3 linked regions of the Drosophila melanogaster genome follow. The protein of the gene in region 1 interacts with the protein of each later gene in a pairwise test. Each region holds a gene or a part of one and is shown in the gene's direction. Other genes may lie near its edges. The genes, in order: CG14053, SkpF and CG7148.

Region 1 (3,756 bases):
GAAACTAACTTCTCGCCATACACTGCTGTATCAACTTGAACTTGACGAGCAGATTAAATTCGAAGAATTTAGTTTCACTGTTTGATATCCCCACTTCACCCGGGATCACGATCAATCTTTCCCAACGATCTTGTCCACACAGTCGTAAACGCAAGTCTCGCATTTAGTCAACATCAATATCAGGGAGCTATCAATATCGATCACGGCCACCTGGCGAGCGATAAAGGAGGTGGGGAGCAATGAATGCACTTCTGTTCTTTTTCTCCCACGTTCTGGGTCTGCAGGCGCGCCAAGTGAGAAAGAGAAATCCGAAAAAGCCGAAAGTATAGAAACGATCTGTTTAAAAATAGTTTCGACGAAATGCATGCATTCTCGGCATTTGAATGGCTTTCCGACTCCAGGCGATGGCGCTTCGCTTCTGGAGGATTGGATCGGTGTGATTATCGGAGATCGGTGATCCGATCGGATGTACAAGATCACACATATTTAAGAGTCTGGTCGCTAGCCCAGCGATAGTTACAATCACCTTATCTGATCCAGGCGACTTACCTTTCGCCTGTTATTTGGTAATTAACTTGTTGCTGCCTGCACTCTTTGGCTTTTTTCCCTTCGATTGCTTCACTTTACTGCCGCAGTGTGCGAATTTACGACTTTGTTGACAGTTTGTGTTCTTCGCGTTACAATTGCAGTTGTCCAATCGTCGAGATTACGGATTGAACGGGGCGTCGAGTGTTCAATAAAACTGAATGAATGCGATTTCGATCGCGTCGCACTTTGACTGCGGTGCTTGACGTACAGCGTCCTTAGCAACTGGCCACACTCGATATGTCCTTGCGGTGAATGCACACTCGGTCACACTGAACGGCAATAATGGTGCTTCTAACACTGACTCCCGGCTTTGCTTTCCCTTTCCCGATGGCTTCACTGGCTTCCAAATCGCGGGAGCGAGTATTACTTTTTGGCGAGACGCAACCGATGTCGCTGTCAGCAGGGCAGGCGACGAATTAAATTAAATGCGAGCCGTGTAAGAGCAGAACGCCGAGCGCCGAGCAGCCGAAGAAGGAACGGCAGCAAAGACAAGCAAACAGCGAAGCACTCTCCTCTCCAGGCCTCTCGCACTGCTCCCTCGCTCCTTATCAGTGGTCAGCCCCAAAGAGCGCGCATGGAGAACTCTGGGCAGGAGTGGGAGCGGGAGAGGGAGAGCGCCGCCAAGTGATCGGACCCAATCTGCTGTGAATTATAGGCACCTTATCAGTTTATAATATTTCGTACATGTTTCGTGCTTCCAATTGTGTTGTCTGCATGCAAATAACACGGCACTTTCGGGCGGCAGCGGGGGGCCTCGGGGGTGGTCTCGATTGCTTACGCCTTTCTGGCTTAGTGTTAAATATTAATTAACAAATTTGCTCGAGTTGAACTGTGCGTAAATCGAAATCACAACGGCCATAAAAAGCGAATACAGCCTGTTTAGACCCACACTGAGCACTATTATACTCTATTCCAAGTCGAACCCCACTTCTTATTTCCTTTTTGCTTAGAAATGAATTTATTTTACAGTGCACACGGATAAACAGTTATTTCCATCGCCTGCATTTCGAATTTTATCCGCTGCAGAAGATTGCAGCACAGTATGGCAAACCCTATTACTTTTTATGTTTTCAAAACATTTTTTTTGTTTTTACCTATTCAAATTCTGCAATATTCATCCAGTCAGCCCATCATTTTTGTATTTCCCCTGCAATCGCAATCGAACTTTGCCCATGCAGCCTTACTGCAGCTCAAATTACAAATCGATTAGGCTCGCGTGCCATCCAAGCTGCAGCCAAAAGAAGTGCATTATCAAGGTCGGCGATGAGACGGCGAGTTCCCCGCGGGCCACAGCGAATGTCTGATGCTCTACACGGGCTTGGTGGAACGGTACATACAGCTCGGCCTCGTGAGGAGTCACGCAGTCAGCGAGCATGGGAAGTCAGACTTGACCGCGCTTCGCACTGATCGCATAATTTGCTGTACAAATAGTGATTTCTAATGCTAAAAATACACACCAGACCCAAGACCAGGCTGACCAGGCTGACTAGACTGGGCCTTCGGTCACAGGTAGGCCATCCCAGGTGAGTTGGTCGACCAACCCGTGATCCTATATACACGCCCGTCGGCTCCTGCCCTCCCAAACCCTTTCCCGCTCCGCGTTTATGGTTGTCGTAATGCGACAATATTGATAGCCGATTATGCCAGGCCATTGATAACGCCCTCGCTGGGAGGGGTGATTGCGGGAGGGGGACCGGGAACGGGAATGGTGGTGGGAATCAATTCCGCATAGTTCGTCCGAGGGTGGTCATGCCACGCCCCATTTCTAGTTGATAAGATAGTGGAGTCCAGGCCGGATGAAATGGAGCGCTGCTGCAGGCTTGACTTGCCGCAAGGAGCGAATTGGCGCCGCAGCAGGAACTGGAACAGGAACCTATGTACATATATACCCGGTTGCCAAGTGTCAGGCGCCTCAAGCTCCATGTTCATTCAAGCAAGCATATTTCACACACTACGGAAGCCCGGAATATATTTCCTTCTATCCGTAAAACTAAAAAAAAAAAACTAAAAAAAGTATATATTTTCTAGTAATGGACATCTCCCAATCGGACGACCTATACGAATGCGGAGTGGAGAGGGAAAGGGAGACTGTCCATCAGTCATCGCGCACCGTGAGAGATCCCCTTCAGGTGTTCCATTGGATAGCGTCTTTGGATGTGGCCCAGCTGGAGGACGAGACACCGCCCCCCAGTTTCTACTTCGATTTGCTGGAGACAAATGACGTCGAACTGGACTGCAGTGTTTACAGCGGAAAGCTTCTTGTAACGCTCGGTAGTCAGACAGATGTGTCGCAGCCAGAAGTTTCGCAGGAGTATGCAGACAACGCACTGGCGGTGGAACCAACAGATCTGAAAATATCAATACCTGAAGATGCGACAGCATGCCCATGTCATGCCGCATCTGATGATGAAGTATCAATTACAATATTTGTAGAAAGCGAAACTGAACCGGAACCACGTGGGAACTCCGAGCATCAACCAAGTCGCTTTTCGTTTTTTGGCATGTTGCTAAAGGCGGTCGTGGCACTGTCCGTGGTGAACGCCCTTTATGTTCTGTGGACGATCGGCTTTGAGGCCTTCAAGAACCGCGTATGGCAGTCATCTTCTGTGAATATGCCACCGCCTCGGACTACATCGATCAGGGAGACGCGTGCTTCGCTGCCCGAGAGCATTTGGCGAAGTGTTGAAGCTAAATTGGCTAGCCTGCGAGCCCGCTTGAACTAAGTCCGCTCCTGGCTGTCGGACTTTGTTAGTTTCAGCTTGGTTATTTATAAACCCATCCCGCTATTTTTACGCCTATGGCACCAGTTGCTGTTCCAGTCGATTCCTTCGCCGTCGACGACCACTGTTTGCTGTTGTTCTCGTTGCCGGCGGCGTTAGAGATTACGAGTAACACGGACTGCCCGAAAATACGGATTTCTGTTGTTGTGTACCCGGGACAACAACAACTATCCGGCCCAGCGATAAGCGTCGGAATCAACACGAATCTCGGTCAATAGCTCACCGATCCATAGCCAAATAAACGCCAAGCTGAGTCTCCAGTTCAAATCGAAATTTCTCGCTCTCCCTTGTGCCCTGCCTAAAATATTCCATGGCGCTGGTTATGCTACACCACCTAATCCGCGCATCCGTGGGACAATGATCCCGAATCGCCTTATCGGAACCAAGC
Region 2 (3,351 bases), on another chromosome or scaffold:
AATGCCCAAACCAAAAAGCGAGCGGCAACACGGAACAGGATCCCTTGCTGGCAGGGCGATAACAATGTATCACAAAACAATAACTTCAATTAGTATCTATCTGTGTAGCGCTTTCCCTGTGATTTCCCTTTGCTTTCCTCCTTCGAGTTTCCCTTTTTCCGCTGAAGGAAAAGTTTCCGGCCATCCTTGATTATGTTAACACAAGGAAAACTGATTAATACGGGTCCTGATTAGCCGCCATCCCTCCTGCAATTATGAACCAGTATCTGGGCAATCCATTGGATTTATGGATGTCGAGCTGGATAAATCAAGGAAGTGGAGTTCAGTCCCAGAGGCCACATTCCCCGCTGAACAAATAATGAAAACAAATGCCTGGCATATGACACTAAATGCAATAATGTTGATCCCGTGCCAGATCCGTGGCCGTTTGCAATTTAATTTATTGACAGTGAGTCTTTGACATTTTATTGCTCCCCAGGCCAAGTTACGACATTGTCCGCATTTCCCATTTTTCTCTCCTTTTCCCGCCTTTCCTCGCTATCGACCGACCTTTCCCCTCTGTCACTTAATTTGTCGAGCTGCTAGTCGTTTGGGTTAATTGTTTATTTGTGCGTTTTATTGACAAGCGGCAATCGTTCCTTGGATTCATCAGCTTGTAGTCCTGTCGTCCTTTCTGTGCGGCTTTTAACAAATGAGTTTTTCGTTAACAAATGGCTTTGATTTCCTGGCTCAATCAGCGCACAAAAAGTTGTCATCTAAGCTGGAAAATTATGTCATCGGAATTTGGTGACCATCGACGGTTGGACGATATCCAATGGCCTGTTGCACGAAGCCAGCCACACACCCACGTTGCCCTCGTTTTGGCTCAGAAAAAGTTTGCTTTTTTGCTGATTTCTCTATTGCTATTTGCCACAAAGACACTCAAGAAAAACAGAAGGACATAAATTCCAGGTCTAATGTCTGCACGGAGCACATCCCCATCGGCATTGACACATACGATGCGTGCATGCAGGCAAGGACATTCGTACACTTGGACTTTGGACTTTGGACATTGGAACACACAGGACTTTGGAGTCCGTAACTTTGGTGCTCGGACTTCATACCCAGATATGCGAAATCTGAAGAAACTTTGTGTTTATTGTGCCTGGCTGCTGAACAGAGAGAGAGAGAGCTGCCGAAGAAAAGAAGAGCTCAGAAAACATGGGAGCTGGGCTGGCATGTCCTTGGGATTGTCACTGGGGCGGTTATCCTGATACACGATACACTGCCAAATCGATGATGGAAGCGGAATGGACACGAGTAAACAATGAGCACACACATCAGATTGGTCAGCTTGCTCCGTTTGGCCAGCCTGGACAGCTGGAAATTCCAAGAAAAACCAAATGAATTGCCATCGCTTTGGTTGTCCAGGTAAATCAATGTCCTCCGCCAGCTGGCCTTCCGTTTTGGCCACAAGAATGGTGCAAACTTTTTGCTCGGCACGCCTGCCACGCTAAGTAATTGAACTTTTATCAAAAAATTGCACGCAGCCAGGCGGACGGAAAAATCGAAGGAAAATCGCAGGGAAAGCGATGGTAGTTCTGCCAACTATGGCCAACAAGCGACGAGAGCCACCGCAACAAGAAAAGCACATTATGCTCCTTGTTGACAAAGGACACGGGCCAATCTAGATGAGCAGAAAATGGCGAGTATCTGCTGCAAAGTGAACCCCGAGCAATGAGCGATGGTGAATTGAAAAGGGAAAATGGAGGCCAAATCCCTGGTTTTGTTTTTATTTCCGTATTCGAAATGGGCCCTAAATATTTCATATTTTTCTGTTATAACAAACAGCAATAAATTGTGCTGCAATTGAAATGTCCATTGTGTAGAACATGGTAAATACCATTGTAAGCGGCAATCAACTATTACTTATACAACAATAAATATGTTATGAAACTAAAATTGTGTATTTCTGCCAATATCTAATCGATTTTGCTCGTTATATTGAAATAAAAATGTTGTCTAAATTGTTAATAAATGCTATCTCCATTCCATGGACATTTGTTTGAATTTGATGAATCACCAATTTGTTTCCATTACGAATCTGTTCTGTTTAATTTTTAACTGTCAAGTTGGCACTGACAGATTTTCTTGAAAAGTTGAACTGTACCAGATAACCTTAAAGGAAAACCCTTTGTGGGCGAAAACGGACCATGCCAGTCATCAAATTGCAGTCCTCCGATGGCGAAATTTTCGAGACCGACATCGAGACTGCCAAGTGCTCGAGCACCATTAAGACCCTATTGGAGGATTGTCCAGTGGAAGCGGAGAACGACACTCTTATCCCGCTGCCCAATGTGAACTCGACGATCCTGAAGAAGGTCCTCATTTGGGCCAAGCATCATCGCGAGGACATTGCAGAGGAGAACGAAGAGGAAGCGGCCAAGTCCGTCGCTGTGCAGATCACCCCCTGGGACGCCGAGTTCCTGTCCATGGATCAGGGCACGCTCTTCGAACTCATCTTGGCGGCCAACTACCTGGACATTCCCAATCTGCTGAACGCCGCCTGCATGACGGTGGCCAACATGATTAAAGGCCGCACGACGGAGGAGATTCGCCAGACCTTTCACATAACCAACGATTTCTCGCCCTCCGAGGAGGATTTGATGACGATGGAGTCGGAAGTCCCGCAGGAGGACGAGGCGATAGAGTACGGCGAAATTATATAAATTCGAAGTGAACATTTTCGAAGGATTGATGCCTGTTCCGGATTAGAATGTAACTCGACATCCTTACCTATGCTCACAAAATATCACATAAATATCCTTCATATGTATCTTGACCCTCGAATGACCTTCAGGGAAAGCACACTACTTTCTTGACCGCAATTGTTCAGTACGGATTCCATTTCCATTTCCATTTTCACTTGCATTCGCCAACCGTCTGGCCGAAAACTTTCGATTGGAAAAGTTTGGCATGTGAATATGATGTGGGCTGAGTAACTCGGAAAACTTTGTCCGTGACATCCACTCACCTGGTCAGCATATTGGCGCGATTGACGGCCACCTCGGCCTCCACCCGGAACCTGTCCTGAGCATACCGGTCGACCACGCCCTCGCCCAGATTGAGCGAAGTACCAGCCACGCAGTTGGAGCCCATCAGATGCTGCTGCTCGATATACTGCAGGAACTTGGACACCAGATCGATCTTGCTGTCCCGCGCGTTAATCACGTCGGCGGTAAACTGGTTGGACTCCATGTTGTCGCCGGAATCCTCCTCCACATCGCCAATGACCAGCTGCTTGGTCTTGTCATCGACTTGCGCATCCGGCGGATAGCCGTCGTCCATGGTGACCTCGGAGGTGTCCAGTCC
Region 3 (3,756 bases), on another chromosome or scaffold:
CAGATTTAGCAGCGGGTTTGACCTCCTCCTCTGAGCTGCTGTCTTCGGAACTAGAAGCGGCTGCCTTAGGAGCTGGCTTTGCGGCAGGCTGGACGGCAGGCTTCTTGGCGGCTGGCTCGTCATCGGAGTCGCTTTCCTCGCTGGAGGATGCTGCTTTCTTTGCCGGTGCAGCCTTGGCTACAGGCTTGGCAGCTGGCTTAGTCTCCTCATCGGAGCTGCTTTCTTCGCTGCTGGAGTCGGCCTTCTTGGCGGGAGCAACCTTAGTCGTTGTGGCCTTGACGGCGGGCTTTGCCGGTTCTTCCTCGGAACTGCTATCCTCGCTGCTGGACTCAACCTTCTTCGCGGGAGCCGCCTTGGCCGGAGGTGCCTTCACTGGAGCAGCTTTTTTGGGTGCTTCTTCCTCCGAGGAACTGTCCTCGCTGGAGGATTTTGCCTTCTTGCCGACAGCCTTGGCCGGCGTGGCCTTTGCTGCTGGCTTCTTCTCCTCCTCTGAATCGCTGTCCTCGCTGGTTGAAGAAGCTGCCTTTTTGACAGCCTTGCCGTTTGTTAGTGCAGGAGCTGTCGCTGGCTTCTTAGGCGCCGCATCAGACTCAGAGTCTGAGTCGCTGTCTTCGCTGGAGTCTCCGGCTGTCGCCTTGATTGCTGGGATCTTTTTGGGGCTTTTGGTCTGGTAGAACTGAAGGATTTCACTCAACTTTGGGCTGCTTTTGGCGACACTGGCCTGCAAGTTAGAAAAAGGCAGAAATTCTTGGTTATCTGGACGAAGCACGTGGCACTTGCAGCAAGTGGCAGGTGGACAGCTCGATGAGCCATCGGCGGACAGCAAGGCCCTCGGATTCTAGATCAGGAGGACGCAGATACCACATGTTTCGGGTGCATCCAAACCGCACATATTGCACTTGCCGCTCTGCACTGAAACTTACCGCCTTCGTCTTCTGCTGGAAAACCTTGGCTAGGTTCTTGTCCTTGGACTGCAAGTACTCCAGGACGATTGCATCGGCTATCTTTAGCAGGTCTGTCATGATTAATTCAACTATTCGTCAATATTTTCCGTCCGCAAATAATTACTAGCCGCTTGTCCCACAAAAAAGAATGCGCACTCACACGTGTTTTCTACTTATCAGTGGTATGGCAGCACTACGCGGCTGCCAACGGTGTGGCCACCCCTGCACCCCGTTTCTCAACACTGTCAATGCAGCGGGTATTCTTCCCAAGAATAACTCGAAAATGCCAATCAATTGTAATCATTTATTTATGCCACACCGACAAAGATCTTGAAATTAGAAATAACGCTAGGCTACGTTAGACAAAACTAAAATTACAAATTTATTGTTATATATGTCTATGTATATATATATATGTATATATATATATGTATATGTATATATGTAGACATATATAACAATAAATTTGTAATTTTAGTTTTGTATATATATATATATATATATATATATATATATATACATAGACATATATAACAATAAATTTGTATTGTTAAATTTGTTATATATATATATGTCTATATGTCTATGTATATATATATAAATTACTAAACTGTATTATTAAATTGTATTCAAACAATTAGCGTATATATAACATAATGTAAGGAACCTACGTTTTTTGCGTGAGGTATTCAGACCATCCACGACTGGTCACATTGGGGGAGCACCAAAATGTATTTTTGTTTGTTATTCAATTGAGTTGACCTGCTTGAAACGATCCAGAATACAGAAACTATCTCTCGCTCCGGCTATTTTAACAGACTCTGTACCTAGATTGTGTCGCGAGGATCGCATCCCGGGCCATGGCTTCCGAGCCGAGATCCCTAATTCTGCAATTGGACGACGACTGTCTGGCCGAGATTTTCGATCGCTTGCAGGACCTGCCGTCGGAAGTGTCCTTCGCGAGGACTTGCCGGCGAGTGCAGTACATATGTCTGAGCAAGTGGCGCACCAGCCATGCCTACGAGCAACTGGATCTGGAGAAGTGGCGGGTACTGTTGCCCAATCATGAAGACCTGGTCTACTTCCTAACCCAAATGCGTCCGTACATCAGAGAAATGGGCGGCAGCAGCTGTCTGTGCTCCATTCTAAAAGATCTGGACGAAATGCACATTGCAGAGCTGCCCATGGTGACCAGCTTCTACTACGACCCAGACGGCGTCGATTGCTATCCCACGAACCGAAGCATCCGCAAGCTGGCCCGCCTGCTGCCGGGCTTGAAAAAGTTGCGCCTTACCACACCCATCGACGGGCGGTACCTATCCAACTTCCAGCACCTGCAGGAGCTGCACCTCTACGAGGACCAGCACAAGGCGTTTGAGCTGCAGCAGAAGTACCTGGACGAGGTGTGCCGGTAAGTAGTAACCTTCTGCTGCATAATATTTCGCAACTCATTTTCCGTTTGCGCCACAGCACGCTGCACGATCTTCGGGTCCTGGACATTAGGACGTACGATATGATCAGTAAACTTCAGCTGGGAAACTGCCTGCAGAGCTTTAAGAACCTCACTGATCTTAAGCTCAATCTGGCCACCTTGAAACCCATTCTACCCGCCGTTCTGGAGCTGCCCTCCCTCAGGAAACTGGTGGTGCTGCTGGACAACGAGTGGCATATCCCCCCGCTGGTCAGTCCGGATAGCTATGACCACAAGATCCGCGAGGTCAGCGAGTTCTACGAGATCATGGCTTTCAAGGCCAAGGACATCGTCGGCTTTGCCGTGGACGGGTACTATATGCCCCTTGAACCGGGCTGGGATGAGAAGCTGCCCATCTGGACGCATCGCAGGCTGAAGCGCCTGGCCATTTGCAGCTGGACTCATTCGGCAGACTACCTAAAGCGCTATACCTGTATGACAGAGCTGCAGCTGCTCTGCGTGCGCAACTGGAATGACCTAAGCGACGAAATCCTCTTAGAATTCGTGGAACTCTGTCCACGATTGGAACACCTCGACGTGTCCTACTGCCGAAATCTGACGCCAACATTTTTGCCACGGGCCTTGAGTATTCTTAAGCGGCGGGAGCCGTTCAAGCAGAAGACGGGAGTTGGACGTTCGCCACCTCTGAAGCTCTACTACGACCTAAGTGGCTTTGAGGACTTTGTGGATAGAGCGGTTACTATTTCTTGTTTATGTCGCTCTTCTTTTATCTAATCAATCAATCCATTGCAGAACCTAAAGAGCTCTTTGGAATATAGAGGATATATTGTCTTCACCGCCGACTTTCCAGTCGACTCGGAACGCGGTCTGAGCTTTGTGGACCGCGGATACCAATTTGAATTTCACTGACCTCAAAATATGTAAATATACAAGCGTAGATTCATACAATAATTTATTATTAAAATTTATGTTGCACAAAGTACGCCAAATTGGATTATTATTTCAAAGTTTTGAGTGCTCCATGCGGACTTCCGTGTTGTTTTCTAAGGCTGTCCTTCACGTAGTGACAAAGAGCACCGTAGTTAAATTATTTAAATAAATTTGTTTTAATAAAATAAATATGAAAATGAGCTGACGATAACGTGCAACATTTTTACCTTTGTTCCCTGGGAATCATTTATAGCTATGAAATAGCTAGCTGAATACCCCTGATAATATGTATATTGCTACTGCCAGGTATAATAACTGTAAGATATAATTTGTAGTTTGGAAGTCAACTTGTTGTTTCCCCAAAAACTATAATGCAATCGATAGTGTAACTCCCGCTCCTATGGATATCTAATCTGCAGGCAAAAATTATTAAATTTGACATTTCAAGCT

Evidence for each region.
Region 2: the proteins of CG14053 (region 1) and SkpF interact in a two-hybrid assay, tested with the Drosophila melanogaster proteins (one large-scale study listed by BioGRID).
Region 3: the proteins of CG14053 (region 1) and CG7148 interact in a two-hybrid assay, tested with the Drosophila melanogaster proteins (one large-scale study listed by BioGRID).

What each region holds. Positions count from the first base shown.
Region 1 is NC_004354.4:2,191,833-2,195,588, reverse strand, and holds the start of CG14053 (uncharacterized protein), read left to right. Parts: upstream 1-1,679; 5' UTR 1,680-2,111; intron 2,112-2,529; exon of another isoform or gene 2,530-2,616; 5' UTR 2,617-2,618; coding exon 2,619-3,311; 3' UTR 3,312-3,756.
Region 2 is NT_033778.4:23,457,528-23,460,878, reverse strand, and holds SkpF (SKP1-related F), read left to right. Parts: upstream 1-2,119; 5' UTR 2,120-2,192; coding exon 2,193-2,708; 3' UTR 2,709-2,814; downstream 2,815-3,351. Other genes in the region: CG43795 (uncharacterized protein), read right to left, coding at 3,014-3,351.
Region 3 is NT_037436.4:21,830,145-21,833,900, reverse strand, and holds CG7148 (uncharacterized protein), read left to right. Parts: upstream 1-1,647; 5' UTR 1,648-1,804; coding exon 1,805-2,355; intron 2,356-2,414; coding exon 2,415-3,111; intron 3,112-3,168; coding exon 3,169-3,285; 3' UTR 3,286-3,357; downstream 3,358-3,756. Other genes in the region: Nopp140, read right to left, coding at 1-721, 924-1,022.